Linked DNA regions of Bombyx mori. The protein of the gene in region 1 purifies or fractionates together with the protein of each later gene. This does not show direct contact. Links are inferred from orthologs where the notes say so. Each region holds a gene or a part of one and is shown in the gene's direction. Other genes may lie near its edges.

Evidence for each region.
Region 2: the proteins of intraflagellar transport protein 140 homolog (region 1) and WD repeat-containing protein 19 purify together in Homo sapiens (co-immunoprecipitation; 3 studies listed by BioGRID and IntAct, with this or other methods). This does not show direct contact. The link is inferred for Bombyx mori from reciprocal best matches to the Homo sapiens genes IFT140 and WDR19.
Region 3: the proteins of intraflagellar transport protein 140 homolog (region 1) and intraflagellar transport protein 122 homolog purify together in Homo sapiens (affinity purification with mass spectrometry; 4 studies listed by BioGRID and IntAct, counting the BioPlex papers as one, with this or other methods). This does not show direct contact. The link is inferred for Bombyx mori from reciprocal best matches to the Homo sapiens genes IFT140 and IFT122.

Annotation. Positions count from the first base shown.
Region 1 is NC_085123.1:7,170,829-7,181,817, reverse strand, and holds the start of intraflagellar transport protein 140 homolog, read left to right. Parts: upstream 1-3,938; 5' UTR 3,939-4,119; intron 4,120-4,313; 5' UTR 4,314-4,404; coding exon 4,405-4,551; intron 4,552-5,000; coding exon 5,001-6,221; intron 6,222-7,192; coding exon 7,193-8,752; intron 8,753-8,820; coding exon 8,821-8,995; intron 8,996-9,080; coding exon 9,081-9,259; intron 9,260-10,067; coding exon 10,068-10,253; intron 10,254-10,989. UniProt on the Homo sapiens protein: Component of the IFT complex A (IFT-A), a complex required for retrograde ciliary transport and entry into cilia of G protein-coupled receptors (GPCRs).
Region 2 is NC_085119.1:3,203,271-3,213,581, reverse strand, and holds part of WD repeat-containing protein 19, read left to right. Parts: intron 1-882; coding exon 883-1,079; intron 1,080-3,294; coding exon 3,295-3,495; intron 3,496-3,976; coding exon 3,977-4,188; intron 4,189-5,719; coding exon 5,720-5,807; intron 5,808-8,284; coding exon 8,285-8,470; intron 8,471-9,172; coding exon 9,173-10,057; intron 10,058-10,311. UniProt on the Homo sapiens protein: As component of the IFT complex A (IFT-A), a complex required for retrograde ciliary transport and entry into cilia of G protein-coupled receptors (GPCRs), it is involved in cilia function and/or assembly.
Region 3 is NC_085107.1:13,131,168-13,141,972, reverse strand, and holds the start of intraflagellar transport protein 122 homolog, read left to right. Parts: upstream 1-3,990; 5' UTR 3,991-4,074; intron 4,075-4,172; 5' UTR 4,173-4,216; coding exon 4,217-4,278; intron 4,279-4,517; coding exon 4,518-4,748; intron 4,749-4,992; coding exon 4,993-5,203; intron 5,204-5,516; coding exon 5,517-5,664; intron 5,665-7,606; coding exon 7,607-7,761; intron 7,762-8,609; coding exon 8,610-8,807; intron 8,808-10,177; coding exon 10,178-10,315; intron 10,316-10,805. UniProt on the Homo sapiens protein: As a component of the IFT complex A (IFT-A), a complex required for retrograde ciliary transport and entry into cilia of G protein-coupled receptors (GPCRs), it is required in ciliogenesis and ciliary protein trafficking.

The DNA of each region.
Region 1 (10,989 bases):
GGAATATAATTTCGACTGTGTCAAAATGTTATTATAATGTATACCTACATTATCTCTTGAAAGATAAATAATGAACATATTTACTTATTTGTTTATATTACCTATGTGAACTCTTAACCTATCTTTTTTATACCTTCATAGCGATAGGTATATAGGAGGATGGAAAAAATGTATTTGGTCTAACTTTACGCGAATGCACATTATTTTATTTATTTTGTTTTTAATTTTTTTAATTAAACTGTATACCAATTAATTGATCCTTCAGGATTTATAATTGTTTTTTTTTCACGATTAAAACCGCGTAGAAAGTTTAGGCATTATAGTTGACGCATGCGCCATAGATTATACACTTATGGCATGCGCAGTACACATATTTTGTATACATTTATTCAACTAATACAATTAATTAAACAAAAAATGAGTAATTTCGAAAGAGAACAAACGTATTTTATATAAGAACAATCGAAAATGAATATTTACAAGTAATTAAGGACGAAAAAATATTAAAAATTGCAATCGAGGGGCTAACTTTTAGATATATTTTTAATATTTTTTTTAAAATAAATAAATGGGGAACAAACAATTATTAACAATGAACAATCAAGAACAAATGATGAACAAACGAATTAATAGAAAATAAGTAGAAAACAGGAAAAAAAATTTTTTTTGAGGGGCTAACTTCATTCACCCTCATTCACCCTCTATATATTTTCTGTTTACCATAGACAATTTATTTTTACGATTTTTTTATATTTTTTTGATGCTATAAGACCTGGTAACAGGAACATTGAGCTATAGTAGTTTTTTCATTATAGTAGTCAAAGGGAACATAAAACAAAGCCAGTTCTTTTGTAATATATAGATAAAATTTTTGAAGTGAATACTTCTCTAATAACGTTGAACACTTTGGTAAGGAAAAGTTTTATGAAGTCGCGTACTAAAGTTACGTATAACAACACATCGTATATGACGTATTTTTGGAAATCTAAAATTTTCTGAGGTGGCATCACCGACATGCTTATTAGCAATATATCTGTAGCTATAGAGATGAAGTATTGTGCATCATTAGTGCTGTGCTTATCACAGCCCTACTGGTATTAAATGGTTACTGGAGCCCATAGACGTTTACAACGTCTGGTGTAGTGGTAAGTGACATGGTCACTACACAAGGGGATCGCGGGTTCGAATCCCGCCAAGGGAAGATATTTGTATGATAAATATAAATGTCTTTTTCAGGGTTATTGATGTATATTAAATATATGTATGTGTATAACAAAAATCGTACATTTATATCCGTTATCTGGTACCTGTAACACAGGTTATTTACGAGCTTAGCACGGGACCAGTTAACGTGGCGTGATTGTTAGTAACTATTTATTTATTTATTTAAAACGTAAATGCGCCTCCCGCCTTGAGGTATAAGTTCTAAGGTCTTAGAATAGTTATAACGGCTGCCCCACCCTTCAAACCGAAAGGCATTACTGCTTTACGGCAGAAATAGGTAGGATGGTGGTACCTACCCGTGCGGACTCACATGAGGTCCTACCACCAGTAATTACGCAAATTATAATTTTGCGGTTTTGTTTTTTATTACACGATGTTATCCTTCACCGTGGAAGTCAATCGTGAACATTTGTTAAGTACGTATTTCATTAGAAAAATTGGTATCCGCCTGCAGGATACGAACACCGTTGCATCGCTATATACGAATGCACTGGATGTCTTATCCTTTAGACCACGACGATTTCAAAAATTTTTGGAGGATCCCGAGAAGCTACGTCCAGCGACTTTGTTTTTTTCCCACATCTGTGCATTTTCACAGATAGTAAACAATTAACAAACTACCGTTATTACACATTTAAACCTGAAGAAACACTAAATAAATAAAATAAAACAAATCACACATCTTATAATATTTATATATTATTATTATTTATTATATGTAACTACATATATTATATTAGGTTAAAAAAGATTAGGCTGTATGGTATTATACCTTTGCCTGTCCAGCTGGAAAACTAAAACTACTACTATTTTGTAGGTATAGGGATGTTCCGATACCATCAAAGTATCGATACCTACTCATTTCGATAGTACTCAAATCTTTATTCGATACTCCTAAAGTATCGATACTTACTGATATCGATGCTTTTAGCACTTTTTTTTCTGCTATCGTAAAAACAATTAACGTTGAAGGACAATAATTAAAACAAAATTGAGAATGAAAAGAAATCTTTTATTATAAACGTTTTGCGTCACTTCAAATACCTACTTTAAACAAAAAACTCTTTGGCATCAAGATTGCCCAAAAACAGTAACTGTTCGAGGTATGTTGGAGACAATATGTTCCTTGTTTGAGACATTATTGCACTGGCTTTGGAAAAAAGGCACTCGCCTGGCACGAGAGTGGAGACACGACGCGTCATCAACGCCACGCCGTTGCCACCACGCGATGGATGAATACCGGTAACCGAGCGAGAGGGCTTTTGCTCTCTCGTTCTGTATGATGCGCTCGGAAATTTTAAAGTTTTTTAAGGGTAATGCTGATTCGATTTGATACAAAGTACTTTTGTTTCGATACCGAGTATGTATCGCAAGATTGATTCGATACTATAAATACTTGGTATCGAATCAAAAGTATCGAGTACCTACTCGTATTTACTAGTATCGGAATATCCCTATGTAGGTAGTGTACCGTAAAATGGGGCGATTAGGGACAAATTCCAACTTTATGACCAATTTTAAAGTAGTTGTTGATGTATATAATGCTATATCAGGATCAAAATGATTGAGTCTTGGGGGCATCTTTGTTGTCTAATTTAAAATTATGCAACTAACATTCCAGTTTAAGCAAAAAATGCAAAAATAGGTGTAATCCCTATTTACCCGAAAATTGCGGTTAATTGGGACGAAATGAGAAATTTGCTAGGGTTGGCACTACTTTTATTTTTATATATAGTTTTAATTTATTTATTTATTTAGTTGCACCAACAAAGTGATCATCAATAAAAAAAATTGAAAAACTGACAAAAGTACATGGCAAACATCACCTCAATTATAGGTGCAATCGACAGTGCATTAACAACAATATATATACTTATTTATACATATATAGTGGGCTTTCTTAGAAACGGTTTATATTTCTCCGTTCTTGGTAAGTACTTAGGGGCTGATTTTTCTATCTGGGTTAATAGATTAGGTGTGTCGGTTATTCCATGGATTAATCAGATGAATACCCCCACTCTGAACAAATATAAAATATTTTCTTGTTACATGTCTCTGCAAAATCGACTTACTTATATTAAATTGATTATCTATTTCAACTAAAGACTTATTCCCAATTTCGCTTCGAATAAACCAAATTTTTACCAACAAATTTAAAAAATATTGTTATAACTCCATAGACAACCCTACAAACCTGTACCTATTTATACTTAGGTCGTTTCCATATCACGTATTCTCATCCCAATTGACCCCTTTTTCGTTGTTATTTATACCTAAGACGTCCAATATCCTCAAAAACAACAGATTTTTACATGTATTTTTATTTAATCAAATACATTAAAACCAATAACAACTGAGACTTACCTTTAATATATATGCTGGTTCAAACACTAAATAACGTTTATAAATCATAGTCGTCTTCTATTAATATCAAATAGCAAATAGAGAGCAAAGTTTCTAGCACTAAAATAATTACCACCACAGGAAGTTAATTTGAAACGCGATTTTTTATAAGTTAGCAGCTATTATCATACATATTCAGAGTTGTTTTGTGAACTTTCAACATTCTACTATTAAACTACAAAAAATGGAAGATTTTGCAACGAATATAAAACATATATTGAGCGTCGAAAGATTTTCCCGGTTTTTTCCCGATTCGCCTCTCAATCCCTAATCGCCCCATTTTACCGGTACGTACGTACCTACAAACATTTGACAAGCATCAACAACTTTCAATCAATGTAAACAGATATAAATACCTTTAGTTACTAAACACAATAGTTAATTTCATATGAGAGAGAATAAAAAAAATTGTTATTTAGATGTGAAACGCCAATAAAATACAGATCAAGAACATCACTAACATAATATTATTATATTAATAATATACTCAATGTAAATCTAAATGCTGTAAAAATCACTAAATATTCCTGAAAATATACATACAATACGATAAATTTAAAAAGATAATATATTCTTTACACAGCACAGCATGCTTATGATGTAAACATTAAACCAACATATCGATTGTACCTCTATTTATTTTGATACAAAACACAAAATAATTTTGGATGAAATTTTAACTTTAGTGAACTAGGCAAAAACAAATCTGTAGATGGCGTGAAGTAGAAAAAATTCAGTGACCAGAAATCAGTAAAAGAAATAATATCGACTCTCATTATGACTCTATACATAGATACTAAACTTAGTTTTTCTGATGAGAATGTGGTGTCAACTGTGGCTGCCTGGCACCCTTCATTGCCATTTTTGGCTATTGGATCTTACAATCAAGAAAAAGGTGGTTTTGCTACAATTTTCCAAGAAAACGTAAGTTTAAGAAAAATCAATTGAAGATGAAACCTATTCCATACCATCTCTGATTATTTATTTGAATTAAAAAAAAAATAGTTTGCACCATGCATTATTACATCCATGTTATATTATATAATTAAAAAATCTTGTATTTTTTTAAAAGAAACCTAGTACAAAACGTTCCATTATTCTTATTGAAAAAGTTGTATTAACATACAAAATTAAATTAAGTCCTATATTAAATATTCATAAAAGTTAATTGATTGTTTTAACCCTTTTCTTTCTCTTTAACACTGGAGAACCCGTTTACGGATACCTGGTCGAGGGGGCGAATAGACTGGTGGCTATGTTGAACTCCAGTGCCAATTTGTTTCATTATTTATTATATCAAAATTGTTTCAACTCTGCCAGGACCAGTTAGTAAGTCATGACTCAATATTCAATTTATCATTATACAATTTCAGGGTTTACCTTTAGAGGGTTGTGAATGGCCCATTTTGTCATCTAATCAAGTGACTGCTCTTGCTTGGCATCCAACAAGGCGGTTGTTGGTTGTTGGATGGGATGGTGGAGAGCTTTACATCTGGCTTGAGTACTCATGGGCCCGATTAGAAGCACCTCACAATGCAGCATTAACTAATATTGCTTTTAGCTCTGGAGGAGGGAGATTGCTTGCATCTGATGCTGCAGGATCATTGTCAGGTTGGCAATCCAGTTCAGGAGCACCACTTACATCTTTTCATCATCAACTTGGTGAAGTCATAACTCATATTTCTTTCTGTACCCCTAGACCAAGTACAGAATCTTCTATTAGGGGTTTAGCTCGAGCAGCAGTTGCTGGAGATGAAAATGCTCTAGATGCTTTAGCAGCTTGGAGACCTAGAACAACAGCTAAAATAAGAGAAGGTTCACAACCTGATAATCATTCATGCTATGCAGTCCAAGATAATGGAGTGATACTTTATATTGACCAGACAGGTGCATGCTCAGAAGTACTCAATGCCCCTGGCAGTATAATGTTCATGGGTATAATAAGCAACATATATCTTCTTGTTGCATGGGAATCCGGTGGTGCATTAAGCTTGACAAGATTCCTAACCTCTGATGAAGGCTCATTAACAACTGACACTCATGTAAGAATGGCTGCAAGAAATGGACAGTCAATTGTACTGGCTGGAAATTTCTTTGTGGCTGTAATCACAGGAGACAATGTTGTCAGAGTGTGGGATAGTGAGACTGGCGATAATGATGTTCTGCTAAATGAGAATGAAAACATATCTGAAGGTGACACTTTTTCGAGTATTACTTATTGCAATTTAAGTGATACTCTTTGCTGTGGCACAGCACAAGGTAATTTATATCTATGGAGACGAGATTATCGGAATATTTGGAAACTGATAAGTAGTACATCTGTTAAAGGAACAATTAAAGGTGTCAGTTGGGGTTCTGAAGGATTAATGAACCCACTGTTACATGTAAACTGTATAACCAGTGCATATATTTTACGGGAACAACCTGTTTGTTGGGGCTACTCTCCCAATATATCAATGGTACAGAAATCTGCTAATGAGATATTTATAAATCACATAAATGAAAACACAACAATAATAAAGAGCAATGTAACCATAAGGGCTTTTGCATTCAGAGACCAATATATTGCCATAGGAGATGGAACTGATGTACAGGTACTTATTATTTTATTTAAAAAATATAAGTAGTAATAGCATCTCTTCTGTCATGATGATCAAATAATAATAATGTTACTGATAAACTTTTGCATATGTATTTAAGTCAGAAAAACAAAACAATCTGATGCAACAGCAATTTGTTACTGGGCAAGTATAAGCAGATACTGGGCAAGAGCAGTAGAATATCTAGTATATTTATGAAAATGAGACTTCACCCTCAAGTTTTAAAGTGGGTATAATTATTGTGCTGCATGTAGTCTACTGTCCTATGGGATATGGTAACTGCTAATATCAGATGGGCTTTAAACTTGTGTGTATCACATCAATAGTAATGTTCAAAATATAAAACTGAATTGTCATATTGTAATACTTGCACGATTTTTTTATTGCCTTCGTAGACAGACGAGCATATGGTAAACCTGATGGTGAGAGGCTACCGTCGCCCATGGATGTCAGCAATGCTAGCGGTATGGCCAAGCCGTTGCCTACCGTTCAGTACTCTCATTTGGAGTCTTCTTGGCCTAAAGAATAAGACGCCCAGTGCATTCGATGCAACAATGTTGGAATCCTGCAGGCAGGTACCAATTTTTCTAATGAAATACGTACTTAAATGTTCACGATTATTTCCAGGATGAAGCAGTAACATCGTGTAATAAAAATCATACCCGTAAAATTATAATTTACGTTATTACTGGTGGTAGGACGTCTTGCGAGTCCACACGGGTAGGTATCACCACCCTGCCTATTTCTGTCGTGAAGTAGTAATGCGTTTCGGTATGAACGGTGAGGCAGCCGATTTTTCTGTAGAAACTGAGGCCTTAGAACTCATGTCTCATGGTAGCGGCATTTACGTTGTAGTTGCCTATGTGCTCCAGTAACCACTTAACTTCACATGGCCCATGAGCTCGTTCTTCCATTAAGAAATAACATTGAAAAAAAGTTAATATTTCAAAAACGAATTGTTACAGATCTGGATGTGTAACAAAGATAATGACTTGAATTTTTCAATGATAAGAACCTTTCCATGGAAAACAGATGTGCTAATATTATATAATGACATACTAGTTGGTATAATTAATCCGCACATCGAATGTCATTCAGTTACGGGTGTACGCCTCGGAAGTCTGCCTACTAGCGAAGGTGAAGGAGAACCAATTAGTATCACTCAAACAAATAAATACGTTATAATTGTTACTTTGGACGGAACACTCAAACTAGCTGAGATCACTAAAAAAGGACTAAAAATGCCATGTCCCCCCAAAAATTGTTATCAAGTTATTGAAGATTTTGGTGAAGTTATGAGAGCATCTGTAAGTTGTAATGGACGTTACATTTGTTTGAGCGTAGCTAATTCCGGTTTAGCCCCAGACCCAAGGATTTACTTATGGGATGCAGCTAACGATATCATAACCAATATCCTCATCGCTGAAAGTTCAAAACCTCCATACCAAACGGTACCTATTGCAATAATATGGGATAACAGTGATCCGAGAATTGTAGCCGTACACATGAGATCAGCAGAATCAGATAAAATCTATTTATTTTTCTGCCATGAAGGAAAACTTCATGAATACGTGAATTGGTGCTCCGCGACGGAAGATTATGTTCAAACGGATTTTATACTTTGTTCCTTATGTAGTCCACACGTAGTCATATTGTCGCAGCAAAATATAAAGAGACTTTTGATGAGTGAATTTAAAGATGTAAACGACTGCGATACAAGCACAGTAAAACAAGTTTTAGATTTCCTTTATTATACGACAACAGGAAACTTAGAAAAGGCTGTCGTCGTGGGTTCTAGTATTTCTGGTGGTACCAGCCAGGTCATTTGGTATAGCTTAGCAAAGATGTGCGTATCTCTGAAACGTCCTGATGTAGGATCAATATGTCTTAGCAAAATGGAAAACATAAAAGGTGCTCTAATGATGCGTAAAGTCATGAATGACAACAGCATGGATGACAACTGCAAAGTAGCAGTGCTTGCTGTAAATCTTGGTATGATAGAAGAAGCCGAAAAGCTATTTCGTGAAGCACAAAGGCCTGATCTAATCACTCGGCTCGTATCAGCAAAGGAAGGTGGACTACTTCAAATAATTGAAGGAAATAAAGACGGTGAAAATATGTTATTGATTAAAAGTGCACAACACAAATTAGCTAAACATTTGTGGTCTAATGGAGAAACAAACGCATCGATTAAGCTATTTGAAAGTGCCGGAACTTTAGTACCACATGTTCCCAGAATGTTAATAGCTCAAGGCCAAACATCGGTACTAGCTCAGCATGTAGCTAATTCAAATGATACAAATTTGATAACATGGTGGGGACATTATTTGGAAAGTTTAGGCGATCTAGACGGAGCGCTTTCAGCATATGCCCGCGCTAATGATTTCGGTGAACAAACTAGGTTACTTTGTCACATGGATAGAATAGACGAGGCAGAGAAGTTATGCCAAAATAATCGAACCGCTGTGTACCAAATGGCCCGCTATTTTGAAATGCAACCCGACAAAACTGAAAACGCTGTAAAGGTATTTAATATGCACTTGCATAATAATTTTTTAGTGCGAATATATTTTTAAATATACATTTCAACTAGATGTATATGAAAAGTGGTGCTGTGTCGTCGGCTGTCCGTGTTGCAGCTGAGGCAAGCGCTTGGAATCTTGTTTGGCGAGCTGGCTCTTCCTCACCAACTCACGCTCTATACGCAGCATCTATACTTGAGAATGCTGGACAAATAGAACAAGCGATTGCGTTGTATCAAAAAGCGGGTTAGAACGCTGTTTCTATAACGTACCTATCGTTCATGTATCTGATGATTTTTTATATTTTAATGAAATCCTTTAAATTAAACAGGAAAAATACATATGGCGTTAAAATTAGCTCTGGATTCCGGTGACACAAACGCAATGGTTGCTGCTGTAGAATCATTGGGCGATCGAGTAGACCCAGAAGTGGCTCACACTCTGGCATCACATTTACGGAAGGCAAACCATCACTCGCATGCAGCTGCACTTCTAGCTACGGCAGGAAAAGTATTAACAATTCTAATTTATTTTTTTATAAGGGATTTTATGACCTGGTAACTAAGACCTTTAGGTCAAGTCTTATTTCAATTTATATTCTTAATTTTATGAAAAATGATAATATGAAATGAAATGTAATGAAATGAGATGAGATGATATGGTATGAAATGTAATCTCAGTAAAATGGTGGTCATTTACTGAGACTTTTTCAGTGGACTTTTTGGAGGAGCCAGAGAAGTTACGTTCAGCGGCCTTGTTTGATTTTCCCACATTTGTGCACTTTCACAGATACTAAACCGTTCATAAACCACCGTTATTACACATTTAAACCTGAAAAAACACTAAATATACAAAATAAAACAAATCACACAACTTCACTCCTCGCGTTCCCGCCACAAAGTCCAACAATTTTAAAATGTGTAATAGAAATGTAGTATATATGAGTCGTCTATTATCAAAGGTGGCAATCTGTGCATTTGGACAAAAAAATGTTATTGATATGTCAATACAGATTGATTTGAATATAATCGTCTCCTTCAAAGAATACGGTTCAAAACCTGCATTAAATATAGATTAATACTTAACCTGTTATTTATCTAAGATGTCGTTCAGAAGAGTTTTGTGACTGCCAATGGAATACAAAGTCAATAATTTGTTTTTCTGATTTACCAATAATTGTCCAAAAGTCACATTGCCGGCTTTGATAATAGTCGACTCATATGCAATAAAAGTAAAGTCTGTAAAGTAAAATAAAAAATACAATCCTAATGGGCTCTAACTAATCCATATATTTATTGTATTTTTCATTCATTTTAAGTATGAAGAAGCATTAGAGTTGGTGGAGCAAAGCTCGGCACCATTGTCGGAAGAATTGAGTGAAAGGTTGGCCGCTCCTGCCGGGACTAGTGGACGTGATGTCCTCTTGCGGCGCCTCGCTGACGTGTTAGGCACTCGCGGCCTATACCACCAGGCTGCCAAGCGTCTTGCCCATGCCGGCGATAAGGTATGTGTTATACATAGTACAGATCGTATATAACTTTATTTATCGGTTTTTTTTATTGCCCTTGTAGGCAGACGAGCATACAGCCCATCTGATGGTGAGTGGTTACCGTCGCCCATGAACTTCAGCATTATGCCAGGGACAGAACCAAGCCGCTGCCTACCGTTAAGTATTCTCCAAAAGCCTCGTTTGAAGAAGGATATGTCATAGCGCTCGGGAAACGCCGTGGAGGGGAACTCATTCCAAAGCCGGATTGATTGTGCTGACCACAAATGTAGCAGTGGTTTTCGAAATGAATAGATTATTTAGTAATATTGTTGTATAAAGCAACAAATGAGTATATATTTTTAAAACGACAATGCACCGGAAAGTGGCTCCTGTGACTAGGAAGATAAAGATTGTAATGTTTCGAGTATTTAACAAGTATGAATAATCTATACTAATATATAAATCTACAGTGGTTTTATCGGATGTTCCGTTATAACTACTGAACCATGCATCCGATTGACTTGAAACTTGGTGTCCATGTAGAAAATACATGTATTTAATAGATAGATAGATAGATAGATAATGAAATACGTTTCTTCTTTCTAATTCTAATGAAATACGTACTTAACAAATGTTCACGATTGACTTCCACGGTGAAGGAAGAGCATCGTGTAATAAAAATCAAACTTGCAAAATTATAATTTGCGTAATTACTGGTGGTAGGACCTCTTGTGAGTCCGCGCGCGTAGGT
Region 2 (10,311 bases), on another chromosome or scaffold:
GATTCGTGCAGCCCTGGATACCACAGTGCACGATGCTCTGCACTCAGCTGCAGATAGGAACAGATGGCGGTGCACTATAAAAAACAATCTGTTTCAAGGCCATGACCACGACCCTCAGTAATGAGGAAACCGACGCAAGGAGGAGAGAGTAGTGTTTATAACTTAAAGTGATAGCGGTCAACGTCGAGGCGTCGTCGTAAACACGTCATTTCGGATCGTCCCAATTCACTCAGTGTTTTTGGATTTTTGGGACCTCAAGCACCGGTCATCGTTCTCGTCGAACCCATCGCACGCGATAAAGGGTTCGACGAGTAAATTAACCCACAGACACAGCCTACTCACTTTCTCGCCGGACCTTCTCAGTGGGTCGCGTGTCCGATCCGGTGGTAGATTCTGCGAAGCACTGCTCTTGTTAGGGGCTAGTGCTAGCAACCTCCTAAGGTTTGAGCGCCGTGAACTCACCTGCTCGTTCGGCGAATCTAGTATAATCCCTCGAGATTACTAGAATAGGTGGAAAAAAAAACATGTGTGCAATTCACACGCGGTAGAAGTGAAACCTTCAAAAATTAAAATACAATTATTTTAAATGTCTAAGTATGTGTAAAATTTTGTCATATTAAGTAAATAATTGTAAATCATCTTTTATAGTATGAGGTAGCGCGTTCTGTGAATACAAGAGGTTTCATAGACACGTTAGTATTAAAAAATCTCATAGATGGCGCTGTATTAATGTGTTCTATCTCATTCTCTCGGCGGCTCAATCCTATACATTTATGTGTTTGTGTCTCTGTGGACTTATTTTTTCGTTTCATCGAGTTTGAAATCACGACGTTTGACTTTAAAAATATTGTCTGATCTGCGCGTGTCGCAACTCGCACGCAGCAAGGTCACGTGGAGCACTTCGGCGTGGAGGAGTGGCGCACGAGCGTGCGGCATCGGGCGGCGGGCGCGCTGTGCGCCGCGTACGGCGACATCAGCGGCACGCGCGCCTGCCTCGCCGACACCGCGCGCCGCCTGCTCGTGTACTGCCCCGCCGCGCCGCACGACCTCTGCCCCCTGCGCGAACCGAAACTTTTCAGGTAACTCCTTCTTTTTTTAAGGGATTTTATGACCTGGTAACTAAGACCTTTAAGTCATGTCTTATTTTAATTTATATTCTTAAGTTTATGAAAAATGATATTATGGAGATTAATGAAATGAAGATGATTAATTTGAGACATTAATCAACTGGGATGAAATTAAATGAAATGAAATGAGATGATACGGGATGAAATGTAATCTCAGTAGAATGGTTATCATTTACTAAGATTTTTTCAGTTGACTTTTTTGGAGGATCCCGAGAAGCTATTTCCAGCGGCTTTGTTTCATTTTCCCACATTTGTGCACTTTCACAGATATTAAACAGTTAATAAACCACCATTATTACACATTTAAACCTGAAGAAACACTAAATAGACAAAATAAAACCAATCACACAACTTCACTCCTCGCGTTCCCGCCAAAAAGTCTAACTCCTTCGGACCAGTGTTGCCGCTGGGCCAACATTGGGTTGCCGTACTGGTGAAAAAAATCTACCGTATTTAAACAAAAATTGCCGTACAAAGTAATTCAAAGTTTATTATTATTTATTTCTAGATTAGAAATTAAAATAATACATATTTTTCACTCCTCTCTTCTCATCAAATCTGTATTATTGCCTAAAGTAAGTTCAGTTTCAATAATCTGATCTTTTCCGTAATTTCATGGTTTTTTTTTCATTTATTGATCATTTCGGGGGTTGGCTTAAAGCTCATACTATTTTGCTAATATTGTTCCATTTATGGTAGATGTTAAGAGGCGGTTTCTTTGTTTTGTTTTGATTAGGTTTACTGCACTGAAGATTCTTTTTTATACACATTTTATACATTAACTCATGTATCACTACACTGCACTTTTTCAAATGTCAAAATGAAGCTACACTTGCTAGTACAAACAATGAAACAAGAGCGAGGCGACTTGAGGAGACGACTCGAAGAGCAGGCGTTGTAGGTTGTAGGGAATTCCCCGTACCATACATATTGTCTATTACAAGAGTTGGATGCGCTTATGTTTACGCAAAAAGTATTCACGTTCTGTAATCACTTTAGATACATTAATTGTTTTTTTAGCTTTATGCTCTTGTTGCCGTATTTTAGAATACGGCAATGACCACTCTGCCGTATGCCGTACTATTTGTCTTTTAGAAGCATGATTGCCGTACGAAACGGCAATTGCCGTACATTTGGCAACGCTGCTTCGGACATACATAATGTGACCATACGTCCCGCTTTGGACGGGATTGTCCCGCTTTCAGGCTGTACGTCCCGTTGTCCCCAACGAGAACCAAAATGTCCCGCTTTTATTTATCTGTTGTGCTTGTGTTTATTAGAAACTTACCGAACACTTACTTATCCCAAATTTTTATTGTATTACAAAATACATACTAAAGTAATTCTAATTTTGCTGTAGAAAAGTAGTTTTTTGTTGCGAAATTATTTATAAATATTATTTTAAGGGTAAGTTGGTGTAAGAATTAAGATGTCAGTGAGGGTAAGATACCATAATAAATTATTTCAATTAATTTTTTAAACCATTTTTTTATTTTGTTCTTAAATATTACATCTTACCAAATATTACATCTTACCCCGACATACCCTATATTATTATATGTATTTATTTATATACGAAATACCGTAAGCGTCCCGCTTTGACACGAAAAAAAAAAGGTCACGTTAGAGATACATCATCACACCCATTGCCACATACGAAAGATCTCTGTCTATCCTGAGAATCTACCTCTAGAATTTTTCATAAAGCCTGTGATGAAAATCCTGTCGAAATATGATGGTCACGACCCTCAGCAGTGAGGAAACGACGCGAGAAAGAGAAAGTCTGTGGTCAAATTGAGAATAGATTGACAATAAATAATAATGTTAATTTTAAATGCCCAGCAAAGCGGGCGAATACGGCTAGTATTTTATAATATGCAGTGATCGTAATCGAAATAGGTACCTACCAATGGGTATTTACCACCACTCTTGCCTGTTTCTGCCGTGAAACAGTAACGTGGCTTAGGGGTTAGCCGTTAACTTACTTACTGGCGGTAGGACGTCTTGCGAGTCCGATGTTTTAAACTTCGCGGTTGTTTACATTACACACATTACTTTTACGGGTAGAGTTACACACTTAAATAATAGTAATGCGTGTGTGTGTATGTGGGCCTGTACATGTGTGGAATAAATAATACATTGTTGCAATTTGTTTATTCTGTCTCAGAGGGGTCATCTGGGATATTTGTTTGTCGGATCGGAACGTGTTTATCGTGTACACGGATGACAAAATTGACACATACTACTACGTGTCGAACTCTATAAACGGATCCCACGTTGACCTGGTCGCGAGCACCAGCATCCTGCCTGGCCAGATCCCTCTCATACTGTTCTCCGGCGACGTGTACTGCTACGCAAGCGGGGGCAGGTCAGTTGAACGAATTAATTATTTCAAGGAAGGATAGGGAATGAGAAATCTTGTTTTTTAATATTACCCGTGAAAAGTTTTAAAAAAAATCGATTGAGCGCTGCTGTTCTAACCAGGGGCTCAGTCAAATCACCGCTTACGGCTGAGTAATCATGAACATTGGTTGGAAAAGAAGCGATTTACCGTTTTCCTATGGTGCGCTTGGTAAAATTCAATAACTAACATTTTTATATTGTTATAATGTATTATTTTACTGAAGTCTATGAGCGACGGTGACCCCTCATCATCGTATAGGACGTATGACCAGTCTGTTTTCGAACTTAATTAAAAGATCAGTTACTATCTTTCCTCCATTGATTGTAAATGTTTTTTTTTTACCAAACTGTCTTAAATCTGTCACTGAAAATTGAACTATAAAGTCTTGTACATACGAAGGGTTTTTAATATTTTTTCATTACCTTCATAATTGTTTTCTTCGCAGCATCATAAAAGTTCCATTAGATTCGCACAACACGAGCGGGCTGGCGGACCCGGACACCGAGAAGCGGGTCGCCAACCAACGGAAGCACATCGAGAAGATGCTCCTCCTGAGGAGGTTCAGTGACGCCTGGCTGTTCTGCGACGCGGTCGACGAGCCCGACGTGTGGCGGAGACTCGGCGAGGCGGCCATCGCCGACCTGAATGTGGAATTTGGTTAGTTGAATCTGAACACCTTCAAATCAAATTAAATAAAAAAAATTATTCAACATAAATGAAAGTACCTACTTGTTGAACGTCAAAAAGAACTACCGTCAAATTCACAAAAACTAGCCTCCGTCCTGAGACGAACTGGCTAGAAACTCAGCGGGCATGTCTTTTTTTTTTAAATATTAGATAAATAAAAAATTAATATTCATTTTTACAATGAGTGTTCTTGATTTGTGAATGTATTTCCTTTGTGATTTTTCTTAGGTGGTTTGTGAAGTCTGCCGTTAAATTACAAAATACTATTAAATTCTTTTTGGTTTTAATGTGAGAGTAATATTGTGAGAGTAATAATATTGCGCGTCTTGTAGCTGTTGAGTCCCGTTCAGAAGTGAAGGTGGTTGTGTGTTTTGTCACGTCGCGGGGCTCGCCGGTCCGCCGGTTTGCCGCCCCCTCCCTCGCCGCGCTGTCTGCGTCTCTCCCGACTCTGCGAAAGAGGAGTTGATGCGTAAACAATGAGTATTTTAATGTAACAATTATTGCAATATTGAAATGCCCGGAGCGACCAACTCATTCCCACATTGTGTAATCTTCTAGATAGTCATTGACTTTATAGTAAGCTTTATTGCACAGATGTTCTTTAATAGTTTTCTTAAACCCATGTATATGTAGGTTCTGAACATCTTGCGGGAATTCGTTGTACTGTTAAGTTACTGTTAACGCAGTCAGAGGTACCCAGCCGCCGTCGCCCGCCGTGTGGTATAAGCCCGCTGAGTTTCTCACCGGGTCTCCTCATTGGGTGCGGCTTCGATTCGGTGGTAGAAACATCCGGGAAGGACCTGCGGGGCGGCTACTTGCAGGCCCCTTGCCTCCCGGCAGAACGCTAAAGACGTTCTGACGAGGCTGGGAAGGTATACAAGTCAGCAGGAATACACCTCTATATAGAGATAGAGAGAATATAGACGATAACACTAAAACACTCGTCGGAGTGAAGGGATCAAAAATTTAACCTCACATTTAAAAATGGTGGGGCATATTGTAAGTCTACATTGATAGCATTGTGCATTGTTATCCCGCCCGGGTAAGTATCCGCATTCTGCTCATTTCTGCTGTTGTTATATAATACAATTGGGACTTCGACTTCGGATCTCAAGATTGATGACGACGTTCACGTGAAGTGTCAACACGTCCTTCGAATGTGGTTTACTGGACCTCTTGTGAGTCCGCATGGGTAGGTACCACCACACTGCCTTTTCTGCCGTGAAGCAGTAATGCGTTTCGATTTGAAGGGTGGGACAGCCGTTGTAACTATACTGAGACCTTAGAACCCATATCTCAAGGTGGGTGGCGGCATTTCCGTTGTAGATGTCCATGGGCTCCGGTAACCACTTAACACCAGATAAGCTGTGGGCTCGTCCACCAATTTAGCGTAGATCCCAAACGAACACCCATTATACCCGAACTTGAGGTTAATAATAATAAAGGCGACATTAAACTTTGAGAATGTTTGTGTGTGGTAATACGTCGGCCATGCCCGCAGCGATACGTGTGTACACTCGGCTGAGCGACGTGGGCACGGTGTGGGCGCTGGAAGACGCCGCGCATGTTGAAGATTTGTCGGTGCTGTGGTGAGTTCAATGCCTCTTCGCAACTACGCCATGTTTAGGTCATTGAATGAATACGTCAAAGGGTCTTTTCGGTGAAAACGTGAGGAGCGCATTTTTGAAGCGAAACTTCTAATGCGACTTCCAAAGAGGTTGCGTTAAACGTGTAACGCTACCATGAATAGAAAGAGACAGAGCGAGAGCGAATGCGCGACACTCAACCGCACGCGCATAGTATACCTGTTACAGCGCGAGTGCTAGCAACGAGTAGCGGCCAATATTTTAATGAAGTATTTAAAACTATAGGTATACAGTCGTGATCAACTAATTAGGGACAATCTCTAGTTAAGCCAAATTGTGAATTTTATTTTTTATTTTTCAACGAGTCTTAGCAATATTCCATATCTTTTACATGTAAGTGTAATCAGTCATTTATATGCGCGATTATACAAACAATAACAACTTCTTAAACATTAAACCTCTTTACAGTATAGCTGATACAATATCATAGTGCTATTGGTTCAAAGAAAGCTGGCTAGCCATTTAATTAGGGACACTGAGGTTATTCCGTTCTAATTTCAAAATTGGAATTTTAATACTTTTTTGTTTCTTTTCTTATTGTTTAGTGGTCGTTTTGGCGGCAATCCAGATTTTTTATTTTAAGTTTTGAGAATTATTTTAAAGACAAAAATGGGCAAAAATAAAAGTTGCGATTCAACACTACGAAAAATTATCATGAAGTTTGTCGAGCGTGGTTGGTCATACCGAAGGATAGCATAACATTTAAATTGTTCAAAAACTATGGTATGCAATGCAGTGCAACATTTCAAGCGCTATAACACAGCTTTAAATGTGTCGATAAAAACCACTCTGCAAGAAGATAGAATGATAACCAGGTTAGCTAAGAAATAGCCGTTTCTAGGCTCTATTTTAATTAAACACGAAGTGTTTGGGGCAAACGAAAGAGCCGGTGTATCTGCGAGGACCGTTCGACGACGTTTGGTAGAAGCAGGGTTGTTCGGAAGAGTGGCTCGCAAAGTACCGTTGTTAAAGAAAGAACATAGAAATGCTTGGTTGGGCATTTGCACGTAAATATGGACATTGGACCTACGCCCAATGGCAACATGTACTTTTCTCTGACGAGACCAAGGTTAATTTGATTTCTTCAGATGGAAGGCAATATGTACGGCGTCCTGTAAAAGCGGAAATGAATCCAAAATTCACAAAAAAACATGGCGGTGGAAACATTAAAATATGGGGTTCATTTTCTGGATGTGGAGTGGGACCTGTGAGGAAAGTTCAGGGTAACTTAGACCAACATCAATACAAGGCAATATTGGAAAAAACTATGCTTCCCTATGCTGAGGAGCATCTCCCTATTATATGGACGTTTCAGCAGGATAACGACCCGAAACATACCGCCCATTCAGTCAAGTCGTTTCTTACCAGTCAGTTTGTATCGGTGCTAGATTGGCCAGCAAATAGCCCGGACCTCAACCCAATTGAGCACCTTTGGCACGAAATCAAGAAAAAAGTTGCCACTTATCGTAATACAAATTTGGATGAACTTCATGAAGCTTTTTGTAAGACATGGGCAAACATTCCTGTCGAAACATGTCAGAAACTGATAATGTCTATGCCACATCGGTGTCAAGCGGTAATTACTAACAAAGGTTTTGCTACTGGGTACTGATTTTACACGTAATAAAATGGAGCTGTTCAAGATATTATAACATTGAAGATTATAAGTTTTGTGTAACTGTATTTTTCATTATACTTTACTGTCCTTAATTAAATGTCCACTACAGAATTGTACCTTAATATTTAATACATGTTTAATCTTTGATATTAAATACTTTTTGTATTTATTAAATCTTTTCTTTACAGCCATTTATAGCATAATAATCGGACCACATTATGCAAATAATAGGTGCTGAGAAATCAATAGGGTTTTATATTTAAATGTACATAACCGGTTATAGCCCTTCACTATCTTGAATGTCCCTAATTAGTTGACCACGACTGTATGTACATTTATTTTCTATATATAATTTGTTGTATAAATATTGAAGATGTCGCATCTCTTATACACAGCATTCCCTATTACAAGATCAATCTGATTTAAAGATGACAAATGAAGAAAACCACAATACTACCGACGAAAAAGAAGTTTCACTTCATCCACGTGCACCAAGTAGCACGCGCACCGTTTTTTGTTTATTGCTTAGTATGGTAGACGAGCTCATGGCCCACCTGAAGTTAAGTGGTTACCGGAGCCTCATCTCCGTGGGCTGTGTCTGATAGTTAATTTACTCTTCGAGCCCTTCGTCGCAAGCGACGGGTTCGACGAGAACGATGACCGGTGCTTGAGGTACCTAAAAGCACCGTTAGTGGATCGGGAGGATCCGAGATGACGTGTAATATTAATTGTAGATCGATCGGCAAAAGGATTTTTTGCATAAGAATTATGGGTGTAATGTTGCGGTTGTATTGTCACACAGTGGCATGCTATGCGCCTGCGTGGGCCAGGGCGCGGCGGCGGCTCGGTGGGCGGAAGGCTCGCCCCTGGCCCTAGAGCTGGCGTGCGCGCGCGGCTTGTGGCGCGACGCGGCCGCGCGGGCGCTCGCCGCCGCCCCGCTGCACGCGCCGCTCGTCACCGCGCAACACGCGCACCACCTCGAACTCACGTATGCATACATACAAACACCCAATGCTACATGTCTAATCTCAAAGCTGGGAACAGCAATATCATATTGTGGCACCAACTGTGGTTTTGTCGCAGTGAAATGATACCACCAATTACAATTTTATATTTAATTAAAGAGCGATCAAATACAAATGTTAATAGCTAAGCATCCAGCGTATGTTTGTCTCCAACTCAACCGAATGAAAATATTTTGCGAGTACCGTTGAATATTATATATAGTGCGATGCTCCAGCGCAGGGCCGTACTCAGCGCAGGGCCGCACTCAGGCTCGCTACAATATCACACAGTACGACACTGCTCTGTGTAGTACGCGTGTGTTTTTAACTTCTCGATCGCCGCTAGGACCTGATAGATCTACATTTGCCGCTAGAGGCGCTGCTCCTTACAAATTTGAGTTAACTTTTACGCGATCGATAAGTTAAAAAACTCACACTAAGCATACAGATCACTAGCTAGATCAAGATGTATGACCCATTATGTTTTCTGAGGTTAAATGTCTATTTCTGCTGCGTGGGGCATTCCGATTTAAGTTATTTAAAATGTAATAGAGATGAGACTTCGGTTTTGTGAAGTGATGCTATACTGGAGGTGATATCTACAAGCTCTGATGATCCCTATAACATGAGATGAACTGTGCAATGAAGACAGATTTGCTGTCATTTATTATTTCTTCATCTTCCAGAGCCGATTATCACGAGGCACTGGCCAACTACGAGAAAAGTATAATTACCGAGAATTTAGACGATGCGAAAGTAAGGGAACACAATAGGAAGTGCGAGGCCGGTATAGCGCGTACTGCGATCCGCTGCGGTGACGTCATGCGCGGTGTTACCACTGCCATGAAACTCGCCGATGACGTCACGCTGCTCAAGGAATGCGCTCAGCTCTTAGAAGAAGAGAAGCAGTACAGTCACGCGGCCGCTCTGTACGATCACGCCGGTAACACCGAACGAGCAGCGTCTCTATACATCAAACTGAAATCTTGGCTCAAAGTCGAAGCCCTGTTACCTAAGATCAATTCGCCCAGCATCCACATTCAGTACGCCAAAGCAAAGGAAGCGGAAGGTCGCTACCACGATGCATTAAAATCGTATCTGAAGGCTCAGGATTACGAAGCGGCCATCCGATTGAATCTCGATAAACTTGAAGACATCGACGAGGCAGTTCACTTAGTTCAAGAAACGAAATCGGTGCAAGGGGCGAAAATGGTCGCCAATTACTTTCAGAACAGCGACGACTCGAGCTCAGCGATAAAGTTCCTAGTGATGTCGCTTTGTTACGACGACGCATTCCAGCTGGCCAGGAAGAACGGGAAGCTGCAGCTGTACGGCGAGATACTGATCCAGACGTCGCAGGCTCGTTCGGAGGATTTCAAGAGCTTGGCCTTGCATTTCGAGGGGGAGAAGAATCATTTGTTGGCGGGAAAGTTTTACTTCCACGCTGCCGATTACAACAGAGCCATGTCGCACTTGCTGAAGGCCGGCGGCTCCGAAGAAGACGAGAATGAGGCGATCAGTGTAGCCATCGACGCGGCCGCGGCTAGCGACGACGAACGACTAACCAGGAGGTGATTATATTATTGCAAATCCTTTAGTTTCCATGTAGCGCCGCGAATAGCATTGACTCCATTTTTTTAGGTGTCATAGAAGGCGATCCAGGGTTTCACTGGAGAATGGTCAGTAGTGTTCTCTGACTATTATACCAGGGTATGGTGATTGGCATTTACAAGTGGTGGGGTATATTTTTAAGTCAGTACAACCATCCTGTCTATTTCACGAGTTCTGGTTTGGGGCCGCGCGACATGCCCTTTTATAATATAAT
Region 3 (10,805 bases), on another chromosome or scaffold:
ATGGTATAGCTATTTAATAACAGTACAGCGTTTACGACAAATACACGTGACTAGACTATAATATTGAAAATTTATTGGTAAAAAACGAGTTGTTAGTTAGTTACGATTAGCTATGTGTGATAAAGGATTTATTAAGGCAAAGTCTGAAGTTTTGGGATTATCACGGTGCACAGCTTGAAACCATTTAGTTCGACGTTTGTCATCTTGGGAAACATTTAAAAATATTTTTTCAGGAGTTGTACTACAAAGTATTCATGCATAGTCGTACAAAAACAAGAACGATAACTTTTGAGGTTCGACATCTTCAATATAAATATTTGATTATTTAACAATGACCACAAAATTAAATAGATCAAAACACTGTACTAATTATTGCCACAGTGGAGGCCACCACCTCCGTAGATGGGTACTGCTCAAGCACGCGGTCAGTCCCCTCTTGTACGTGGTCGAACAGAGTTGACCCCTGTGTAGGCCCCTGATATTGCTGAAATCCAGATTAAATGTGGAATGGAGGTCCACGGAAAAAACTTTTTTCCTATTGTCGACTATAATTTGAGTAAAAAACTTTAGTTGGAGAGTAAGGATTTGGAGAGGTAGGATGTTAGTGATGATATCAAGGCAATACATGAAATAAAGCGCAGAGCATAGTGAACATTCAACTAGGGGTTGCGCGAGGATCTGACGCAGGGTATGGAAGGGCCTCCAGTCCACCCTGCATACGATCGCTGGGATCCACTCCCGTCTCCGACTCCGGCACGACGACCACATGATAGGATTTTACACAAGTTGGCGGGACAGCTTCCCGGGGCGGAGTTTATTAGTGACACCCGGGTTCAGGTCCCCCACTAACCGGCAGGCGGTGGCAGACACAGTTTCACTGGATCCCCCTATACCCCCGTCAGCAACCAACGTCCCGCGGACTTGTGAGCACGTTTGCTCTGCATGTTGCAAGTATCACCAAAACTCACCTCCAACTAGGAGGAGGAAAAGAAAGTAAGAGAACTGGCTCTCCAACCCACACGCTAGAACACAGCTAGGTTATTTGGCGGCAAATTACAGTTGGAGGGTGGTGGCCACCAGTCGGACTAGGTCTTATCACCGGTTGTGTTTTCGGCTCCTGTTTAGGACCACCCAGGGGTCACTTGTAGGTAATCGCGGGTTAAAGCTACGGAAGCGGGAAGCATCAACCCCCAAAAAAAAGCTATTACGTTTTTTCTGACGTAACGCCTGACTCCAATTATCATACGGAGGGAAAGATTCTGCTGGGCCTGCAACCTCACCTGCACCACGTACAAGTTGAGATGAAACCAGGCCTCAGATACGTACTTGAGTGGACACACCTCTTGTAGATGGCGGTGCTAGGCTTGACCAGCAACTTAGAGTTCAAGATCGACCAAAGAAAGAAGCTTGCTGAATGAATAGTTGCTCACGCCCAATTGATGTGGGCCATAATACTTTCTTTAAAAAAACGACTCTTCATTCCTTACTTATGTCTCCTGAACCTCCTTCCTATCTAACTCCCTATTTTCAACATCTTCACTCCAGCCATGAGCGGGCTCTACGTTCTCTCCATAGCCTATTAATTCGTTGTCCCACACATAGTTCTAGTTATGTTCATAACTCTTTCGTCGTGCAATAACTAACCGTTGCACGTTCAAGTTAAGGGTTGGGCGAATGTTGTTGGAAAAGTTAGCGGAATTATCATGAACTTATTAAGATGAAGTTATTTGTTAAGGAAATTTATTAATATATTCCTTGTATTACTATATAAACTATCATATGTATGTATGTATGTATATATTATTATGTATGTATGTATATACTTTTTGTAACTTAATATAAATTTCATTGCACACACTATCCACTCTGCACTACCTTTGGTTGATTAGACATAAAGTCCGCCAATGTAAATTTTACATGAAGTGTAACAATTTTTTTTTTTTTTTTTATTGCTTAGATGGGTGGACGAGCTCACAGCCCACCTGGTGTTAAGTGGTTACTGGAGCCCATAGACATCCACAACGTAAATGCGCCACCCACCTTGAGATACAAGTTCTAAGGTCTCAAGTATAGTTACAACGGCTGCCCCACCCTTCAAACCGAAACGCATTACTGCTTCACGGCAGAAATAGGCAGGGCGGTGGTACCCACCCGCGCGGACTCACAAGAGGTCCTACCACCAGTAATTACGCAAATTATAATTTTGCGGGTTTCATTTTTATTACACGATGTTATTCCTTCACCGTGGAAGTCAATCGTCAACATTTCTTGAGTACGTATTTCATTAGAAATATTGGTACCCGCCTGCGGGATTCGAACACCGGTGCATCGCATCAACACGAATACACCGGACGTCTTATCCGTTAGGCCACGACGACGAAATAAAATAAAAAATAATGCTCTGCGAGCGCTCCCGCAACGCAAACCGCGGAGACTAAGCTTAAGGACTATACCATATAGGACTGCCGCGGTATTTTTCATGTTAACCGTGACACTCCACCGGTCCAGCTACTAAGGTAAAACTTTCAATAGCCTCGGTATCATTGAAATGACCGCTAGGGGAAATAAGGATGATGGGAAATAAGTTATTTTGTTGGCATCAGCGTTAATTTTACGTCTACTTCTCACGCGCTAAGATTCCACGATAAGAACGATTCTGCCCTCCAGGTACGACGGCGTGCGACTACTACTACATAGGCATGTTGCAGAGCCGTTTCCCTTTACAACTTGTAGACCCGTCCCATGGGCCAGACATCGTCGATGGCTTTCTCGATATTGAGATAAGTGACTGCCGAAACGCTGTTGAATTTTCCCGAACGTTCGTGCCTTACGATCTCTAGTAATCTTATGATTTTTCAAAGTCGTTCAGCTTGTCCCTTGGTATTAGTTTAAAATTTTATTGTTTGCTTGCGCACTATTCTGTTAGTGCCACTATTGGTTAAGAAATAGCACAGGTTGTCATTTCTGTTATAAAATAAGAATATATACCAGGGTTCGCCAAATGGCGGACCACGGTCCGCATCCGGACAGAGCAACTTCCACTACAGGGTATGGAAGTGTCTAGTGCAGAGTTCTGCATAAAATTTGTGTGTGGTGATAAATATTCAGAAAAAAAATAGCTTTGCAACTTCTTACTTTGCTTGGATCAACATATATTGGCGAAATAACATTTTCGTAGATGCACTTCAACAAGAACAAATTTCGATCACGACTTACTGATGAACATCTCCAGGATTTAACGTGAATAACTTGCACCAAATTACTTCAAACTTCAGACAGATAGTCCGCAACAAAAAATAGAATTTTTCTCATGGATATAATAAAATACTTTTATTATTTCCGTTATTACATTTGTTAAGTAAATCTTTTTTCTTTAAAATATTGTACATACCGCGATGTTAATTTCCTAAAACAGACCTCAACCGAAACTAATCGGTAACTTTCATATTGGGTATATATTTCTTAAAAACTTTCAATACTAATGAAATTTTTTCGATTTTCCTAGAAAGTTGTTGGACGTTTAAAGTTGAGGCGATTGGGTTCTGGAGGTGAGGGGCTATTTAAAAACAACTCTGCTTCATGGTTAGTATAATTTATATAGGCAAACACTTTGTGCACTATTACACCATTACAATATTTTATTTTTATAAAACCCTAAGATGTTGCACTGTCCGTGTCTAGATGAGAAGTCATTGTCTTCACTGAAGAGAAGACAATCATCTGTTTTAAATATTTAAATACTTAAGCGTTCCAATATTCGAAAACTGTAACCTTATAAGTGTTAAGTGTTGCCTGCCATTACTTACATATTCAAACTACAACAAAAGTCCATTGAATCCTTAGTAAATCTAACTACTACAAAAAATACGGTGTTGTTTTATTTTAATTAATTTCGCTCCATTTACTAATCATTTATATGAAAATCTTTTGTAACAAATATTTGAAGTAATAACCTATGTTTCCTTTGCCTATCTAGTGTCCTATGGAGACAAAAAAATCTTTTAAATAATAAACAATTTTATGTAATCTAAATACAACTTTGTTTGTATGTACGTATCACTACGGCTACGTACGGTACGGTACATTTATAAAAGTATAAGACTCATTCTATACAGTTTCAAAAAATAAAGTACCTAAACCGAGCTTAAATTAAGTAGAAATTTTGTTTTTAGGATTACAATTTTTTCACATTGTAGTTTACCACCGATAAACAAAAATGAGAACGTTACCAAAATGGGTAAATAAAATTCACGAAGCTGACAAAATTGAGTTTTCTAGGTATGAATCGTGTAACAACTTTGACTTTAAAATAAATAAAAATCATTAATTGATAAACCTAATATAAACAATTAATACACACAAAAACATAATTATTACATTAAAGTTAACATCTTGAACTCAACAGAAGTCGCAATCAACATGATATGACTATACTCATGATTGACTCATGATTTACTCAATAGGCTCGGAAAGCATTATTTGTGAACGAGTTTTACAGTTGGAATTAATTATTTCAGTGTCCACACATTATGCTTCAGTCCAGATGGAAGCCAGCTGGTAGTTGGAGCTGGAGAGAAGGTTATGGTTTATGATCCTAGGGATGGATCTCTTCTACAACTGCTGCAGGCCCATAAAGGGGCAGTTCATGCTGTAGCTTATTGTGGAGATGGCAAGAAATTTGCAAGTGGTAGTGCTGACAGGAATGTTATTATTTGGACATCAAAAATGGAAGGCATATTGAAATATTCGTTAGTTGATTATATTTACTTGGCAGATGAGTAATGTTTAGTTAAGAATTTGCAGTGATTCGGGGTAATGAAATTTCCAGATATTGAAACATGGGATAGTTGTAAATTTTTGTTTCATCTCATTGTAGATAAAAGTGTTCTGAATATTATTCAAGCACAATGTATTTTATTGATCATGATTATTTTTTGTTGCTATATTGTGTCCTTCAAAGAGTTTTTTTTGTTTTTTTTTTCTCTCTTTTAGACACAGTGAAGCAATACAGTGTCTCGCCTACAACCCTGTAACATTTCATTTGGCCTCATGTGCCATTTCTGATTTTGCTTTCTGGTCAATGGACATAAAAGCTGTTCAGAAACATAAAGTTTCTGGGAGAATAACAAGTTGTGCTTGGTCACCAAATGGGCAATATCTGGTAATTGGTTTAGCAAGTGGTGCTGTAACTTTTAGGGATAAAGTAAGTAATCTATTTGTTCACTATTTTGATTTTATTAAAGTCTATAAAATATGTTGAATTAAGCACACTTACCTTGTATTTAAATTTACTTCTGAAAAATATAGCTCTTAATAATTCTTCCTATAATTTTTTTTTTTAAATTACTTCATTGAAATATGCATTGTAGCAATTACTCAATGATTTTTAGTACAACTGGTAGCTGTTGAGATTTCTAACTGTAGATTCAATGTACTATTGTCCTAGTTTCTTAGTGTTTTTAATAGCTTTTATAATTTTATGTGTTTTATTTTTGCTAAACCAATATTTTTTTTAGGTAGGCAATGAAATACAACGAATTCTGAGAGAAGCTGCAGTTTGGGCGGTTGCCTTCTCAAAAATGACTTTACTTGTCACTGATTGGAATGAAACACTTTCTTTTTATACAATACAGGGTCAGCAAACACTAAAAGAAAGAAATATTGGTAATATGCATATTTACACCTCAAAATGTCATTAATATAAAATGAAATTAAAAAAGGATCCCGACCATCAGGCAATCCTCAGCTATGCCCTTGTCATTACTTTTACCCATTGGTTTTATGACTCGTATCAATGATTCATATGTGATCTGGCTTAAGAATGAAAATTAACTATTGTATTTAAAACAATAAAAATGGTAAACAAACTAGTTTAATCAATAGAAATAGAAATTGTAATTTTTTATAGACTTCATCAGATGCCACATTTAAACTAGTACCGTAGATTGGGGGGAATAGGAACTAGGGGTAGAATCAGGGATGTCTTAAACTAGGATGGGGCCCTTGGGCACACAAGAATTTGAGGCCCTTTTGGAAAGTAAAAAAAGCGAATTATAATAACATTTTTTTACTGAGTATGACCATTTATTATAGGTAATCAAATACAGTATGATATAATATGTTATTAATGATATTAGAATGCTGCTGGTTTTTTGGTTACAATTTCGATAACGGTTTCTTTCGGGATTTCTGTTGAGCAAAATCTTCTATTATAGTGATTTGTGAAAAAAGTGTAATGTGCCCGAAAAAATGTTTTGAGAATAAACGTGTGAGAGAAACTGTCGGTCTTTCGGGGCCCCCTGAGAATGGGGGCCCTGGGCACGGGCCCCGTGTGCCCTTATGGTAAAGACGGTATTGGGTAGAATAGGGACAAATCTGGGTTGTCACAATGCCTTTTTGAGATTTAAATTTGTTGAATTGAAAATAACTTTTATTTAGTGCTTAAGAATATTACATAGCTTAATTTGGTCATAGTCATTTGTAACTGATTATAGATATTGAAAAGTTAAATACCTAAAGGTAAGAATCTATCTAACAACTAAACAGTACCAGCCCTATCGAAAACTCTATTGTCCCCATACATGCCCTGATTCACCCCAAAAGCCGAGGTGGATCAGGTCAAGCTAGTTTTTTAAGTTTAATGTATATTTTTTAATGAACTATGTTAATGTATTTTATATGAAAATTTTAACCTCCGCAACCATTTTAATTTCAATTTTATTGGGATTAATTACCCTAAGATAAACGCTCTGAAAATTTGTGTTGGAATTGAAAAGCGTCCCTATTCCCCCCAATCTATTGTAGACACAATAATTATGTATTTAATACTTTGTGCAAACTTTTTCATACTAGCTCTCTATTTTTTACTGCTTAGATGAGTGGACGAGCTCACAGCCCACCTGGTGTTAGTGATTATTAGAGTTCATAGACATCTACAACGTAAATGCCGCCACCTATCTTGAAATATGTGTTCTAAGGTCTCAGTTTTTACAGTACAACGGATGCCATACTATTCAAACCGAAATACCTTACTGCTTTACGGTAGAAATAGGCAGGGCGGTGGTACCTACCTGTGCGGACTCATAAGACGTCCTACCACCAGTGTTCTGATGCCTTTATGTCCTTCACCTAAAATCTAAATGAACTGGGGGGAATTGATTTCCATAACGGGTATATGAAATGAAAGCATGAATCTCCTAATGGATAGAGTGTAGCGGTTTCTGAAGTGGAAAGGGCAACGGTCCATAATTCCGCTTCGCTAGTTAATTTCCTAACTTAATCATAAATGTTTTAATGAGCTCGCTGTATAGATAACGCAGGAGTAGCTGGCTGATTCTCCTCGGCTTCGTTAGCACCGCGACTTCATCGCGCTTAAGGTGTTGTGTGTTGTGTTCAAGAGCTTAACAGTCAGTTGAAATAAATTCTAAATTTCCATTCAAACATATATTTTACAAAGCATGCTGATAAGGTCGTGGTGAAGAACTACAATGTTTTAACCACTATTATTTTAGTTCTATCGTGTGAGAAGTCGCCAGAGTAAACATCTGTCTTGGGTTTTGCGACACATATGATATATTAGAAAATCAAGTACAACATGTTTTTTCAGGAATGGCGGCTGTCTCTATTATGTTACTTGATTCTTTGATCCTCGTTGGTGGTGTGGGGGGATGGGCGATACTCACAGCAGAAGGAGTGCCTATAATTACAACTTCTCAAGATTGGGTTTGGGCAATAGCTCCTTCACCCTCCTTCAATAATATTGTAAGTTAAAAGTATACGTAAATTCGAATAAATTGATTTGCAACACATGTACCGGTGACTTATTCACAAACACTAACGTTGATAGGAAGTTAAATGCTGCTTAAATATCTGTCAAAATTAAATTAAATTGTAACTTAATTTCACTTTAAAATAATTTTTTTTTGGTTGGTAAGGTGTGGCTTATAAGTATGTGGCAGTGGATGTATGTTAATATGACGAAATTATAAATAATCATGTCCTATTGTCTTGCTTGCAATAACGATAAACGATCGAACGTAGCAGTATACATGAAATTTGGGAATATTGGGTAAAATTGCCAATAATGTTGTGTGTCGGCCCTTCTTTATACTACTTATAGAAATTAAAAAGAATAACAGTAATTCTTGTGGCGGACGTCAACTTTTGTTGAAAAGTTGCGTTTTTACCTTATATCTTTAAACGAGCAATTCTTGTATATAATATATACATATATAATCTGAATCTTGGAAACGGCTCCAACGATTTTCATAAAATTTAGTATACAGGCGATTTCAGGGGCGATAAATCGATCTAGCTACGATTAATTTTCAGAAAATGTTGTTTTATTCGTGTTTTCAATAATCAACTTTATCGATAATAATAATAATAAACATATTTTTTTTATTGAAATACATTTCGTAATTAAATATAATTTCTAAAAAACACAATTAATCAAAAAATTAATAAATAGCAAAGCTAAGTCATCCTCTAGTTTTCGTTTATGTGAAAAAAATCCTGGTACCTATGCATTTCTTCAAATTATAATATTTTTCAAACCGGAATGCATAAGTTTCGATTAAGTGTTTCACAAAAAATTATTTGCCTTACAGGCTGTGGCATGTCAAGACGGGACGCTCTGGTGCTATCAAGTTGTGTTCAGTACTGTGCATGGTTTATACCGTGAGAGATACGCTTATAGAGAGAACATGACCGATGTTATAATACAACATCTCACCACCGGTAATAAAGTACGGATTAAATGTCACGACAGAGTACAGAAGATAGCAATTTATAAACATCGACTTGCCGTAAGTATGCTTTTTAAATTAATCATATTAATTTAAGACTCAATATTTCTCATCCTGGGACGGCCACCTACCAGATGAATCGACGTCCTAGTGAAAGTCGCTAGGTCACGTTGGATGCAGATGGCAACGGACCGGCCGCACTGGAGATCAATTACCCACACGGATTTCCTCCCGGATTAGGAGGAGGAATCTCACACCCCCGATTACTCTCTTTAGACAACCCATACCCTGGGCCAGGAAGGTCAAGTACCTGGGCGTTAGCCTGGATGCATCGATGACATTCCGCCCGCATATAAAATCAGTCCGTGACCGTGCCGCGTTTATTCTCGGTAGACTCTACCCCATGATCTGTAAGCGGAGTAAAATGTCCCTTCGGAACAAGGTGACACTTTACAAAACTTGCATAAGGCCCGTCATGACTTACGCGAGTGTGGTGTTCGCTCACGCGGCCCGCACACACATAGACACCCTCCAATCCCTACAATCCCGCTTTTGCAGGTTAGCTGTCGGGGCTCCGTGGTTCGTGAGGAACGTTGACCTACACGACGACCTGGGCCTCGAATCAATTCGGAAATACATGAAGTCAGCGTCGGAACGATACTTCGATAAGGCTATGCGTCATGATAATCGCCTTATCGTTGCCGCCGCTGACTACTCCCCGAATCCTGATCATGCAGGAGCCAGTCACCGTCGACGCCCTAGACACGTCCTTACGGATCCATCAGATCCAATAACCTTTGCATTAGATGCCTTCAGCTCTAATACTAGGGGCAGGCTTAGGGACCCCGGTAACCGTACTCGTCGAACTCGACAAAGAGGTCGACGTGCAACCTAACCCATGCATCAGCCCGCTGAGTTTCTCGCCGGATCTTCTCAGCGGGTCGCGATTCCGATCCGGTAGTAGATTCATTCGCGAAACAATTGCTCTTGAGTTGTTAGGTCTCCTTCGGAGGCGCTCGGGCAGTTGTTAGCAAATCCCACCCCTCTTGGCTGAGCCTTTGCTCGCCCACCTGTCCTGGTGAAACTGGAAAGGCCTTCGGGCCACCAGTAAACTTTCAATCATAAAAAAAAAAAAAAAAAAAAAAAGATCAATTAGAGATACCTATGTTCAACAGTGGACTGAGTTATAGGCTGAGATGATGATAATAATTTTTCATCGGTCTAATGTGCTTGGCAAGGTTGAATCAACAGGCATTCAGTTGGCACATAGACGAATAAAAGGGATTTTATAATGTAACTACGGCTGTAACTTCTATGCCTAACTGAAGCGACCGTGGCCTAATAGGTAATGCCTGTTCATAGCAGGTGAATGACAGTGACGTGACCTGTGTCACGTTTTCTCGGGATCTTAATTTAATTCGTGTTAACAGGTGCAATTACCAGAACGAGTGGTTGTGTACGAGCAGGGCGACGTTGAGGGAATGCTGTACAGAGTGAGAGAGAAACTTCCCCAAAAATCTGAATGTTCACTATTAGTGGCCACCAGTGACTCATTGCTATTATGTCAGGTATTTTATTTTTATTTTATATTAACTATAATATCATAATTATGTGAAACATTTTCTCACATACTGGCGAAAAACTTTTTTTTTTAAGGTTTGCAATTATCTGCTCTGTAGAATGCTCTGCAATGGTCTGTAGAAGTGGAGCTATCAGAAATATTTTGTCTTATTCTCTTATTAACTCAACCCTATAAACATAAATATTTTTTTTATATCGAATGTTGTTTCCGTTTCATCGAGTTTCAAATCAATACCGTGCTAAAAAAAAATCACTTCAGAAACTTTGAAATGACAATTCCAAACACAATGAAAAAGTAAGCAGCCAAATCGGCGGAGCCGTTCTCGTGTGACTCCTAATCATATTATTATATGTGTGTTCGCTCAACGATAGAAATTTGACTACAGATTACAATCATCATTTATGATCACTGACATTTTAAGATTTCTATTCATAATAATATTTTTGCTCTTAGTTTTTTATTGATACTAGAGGTCC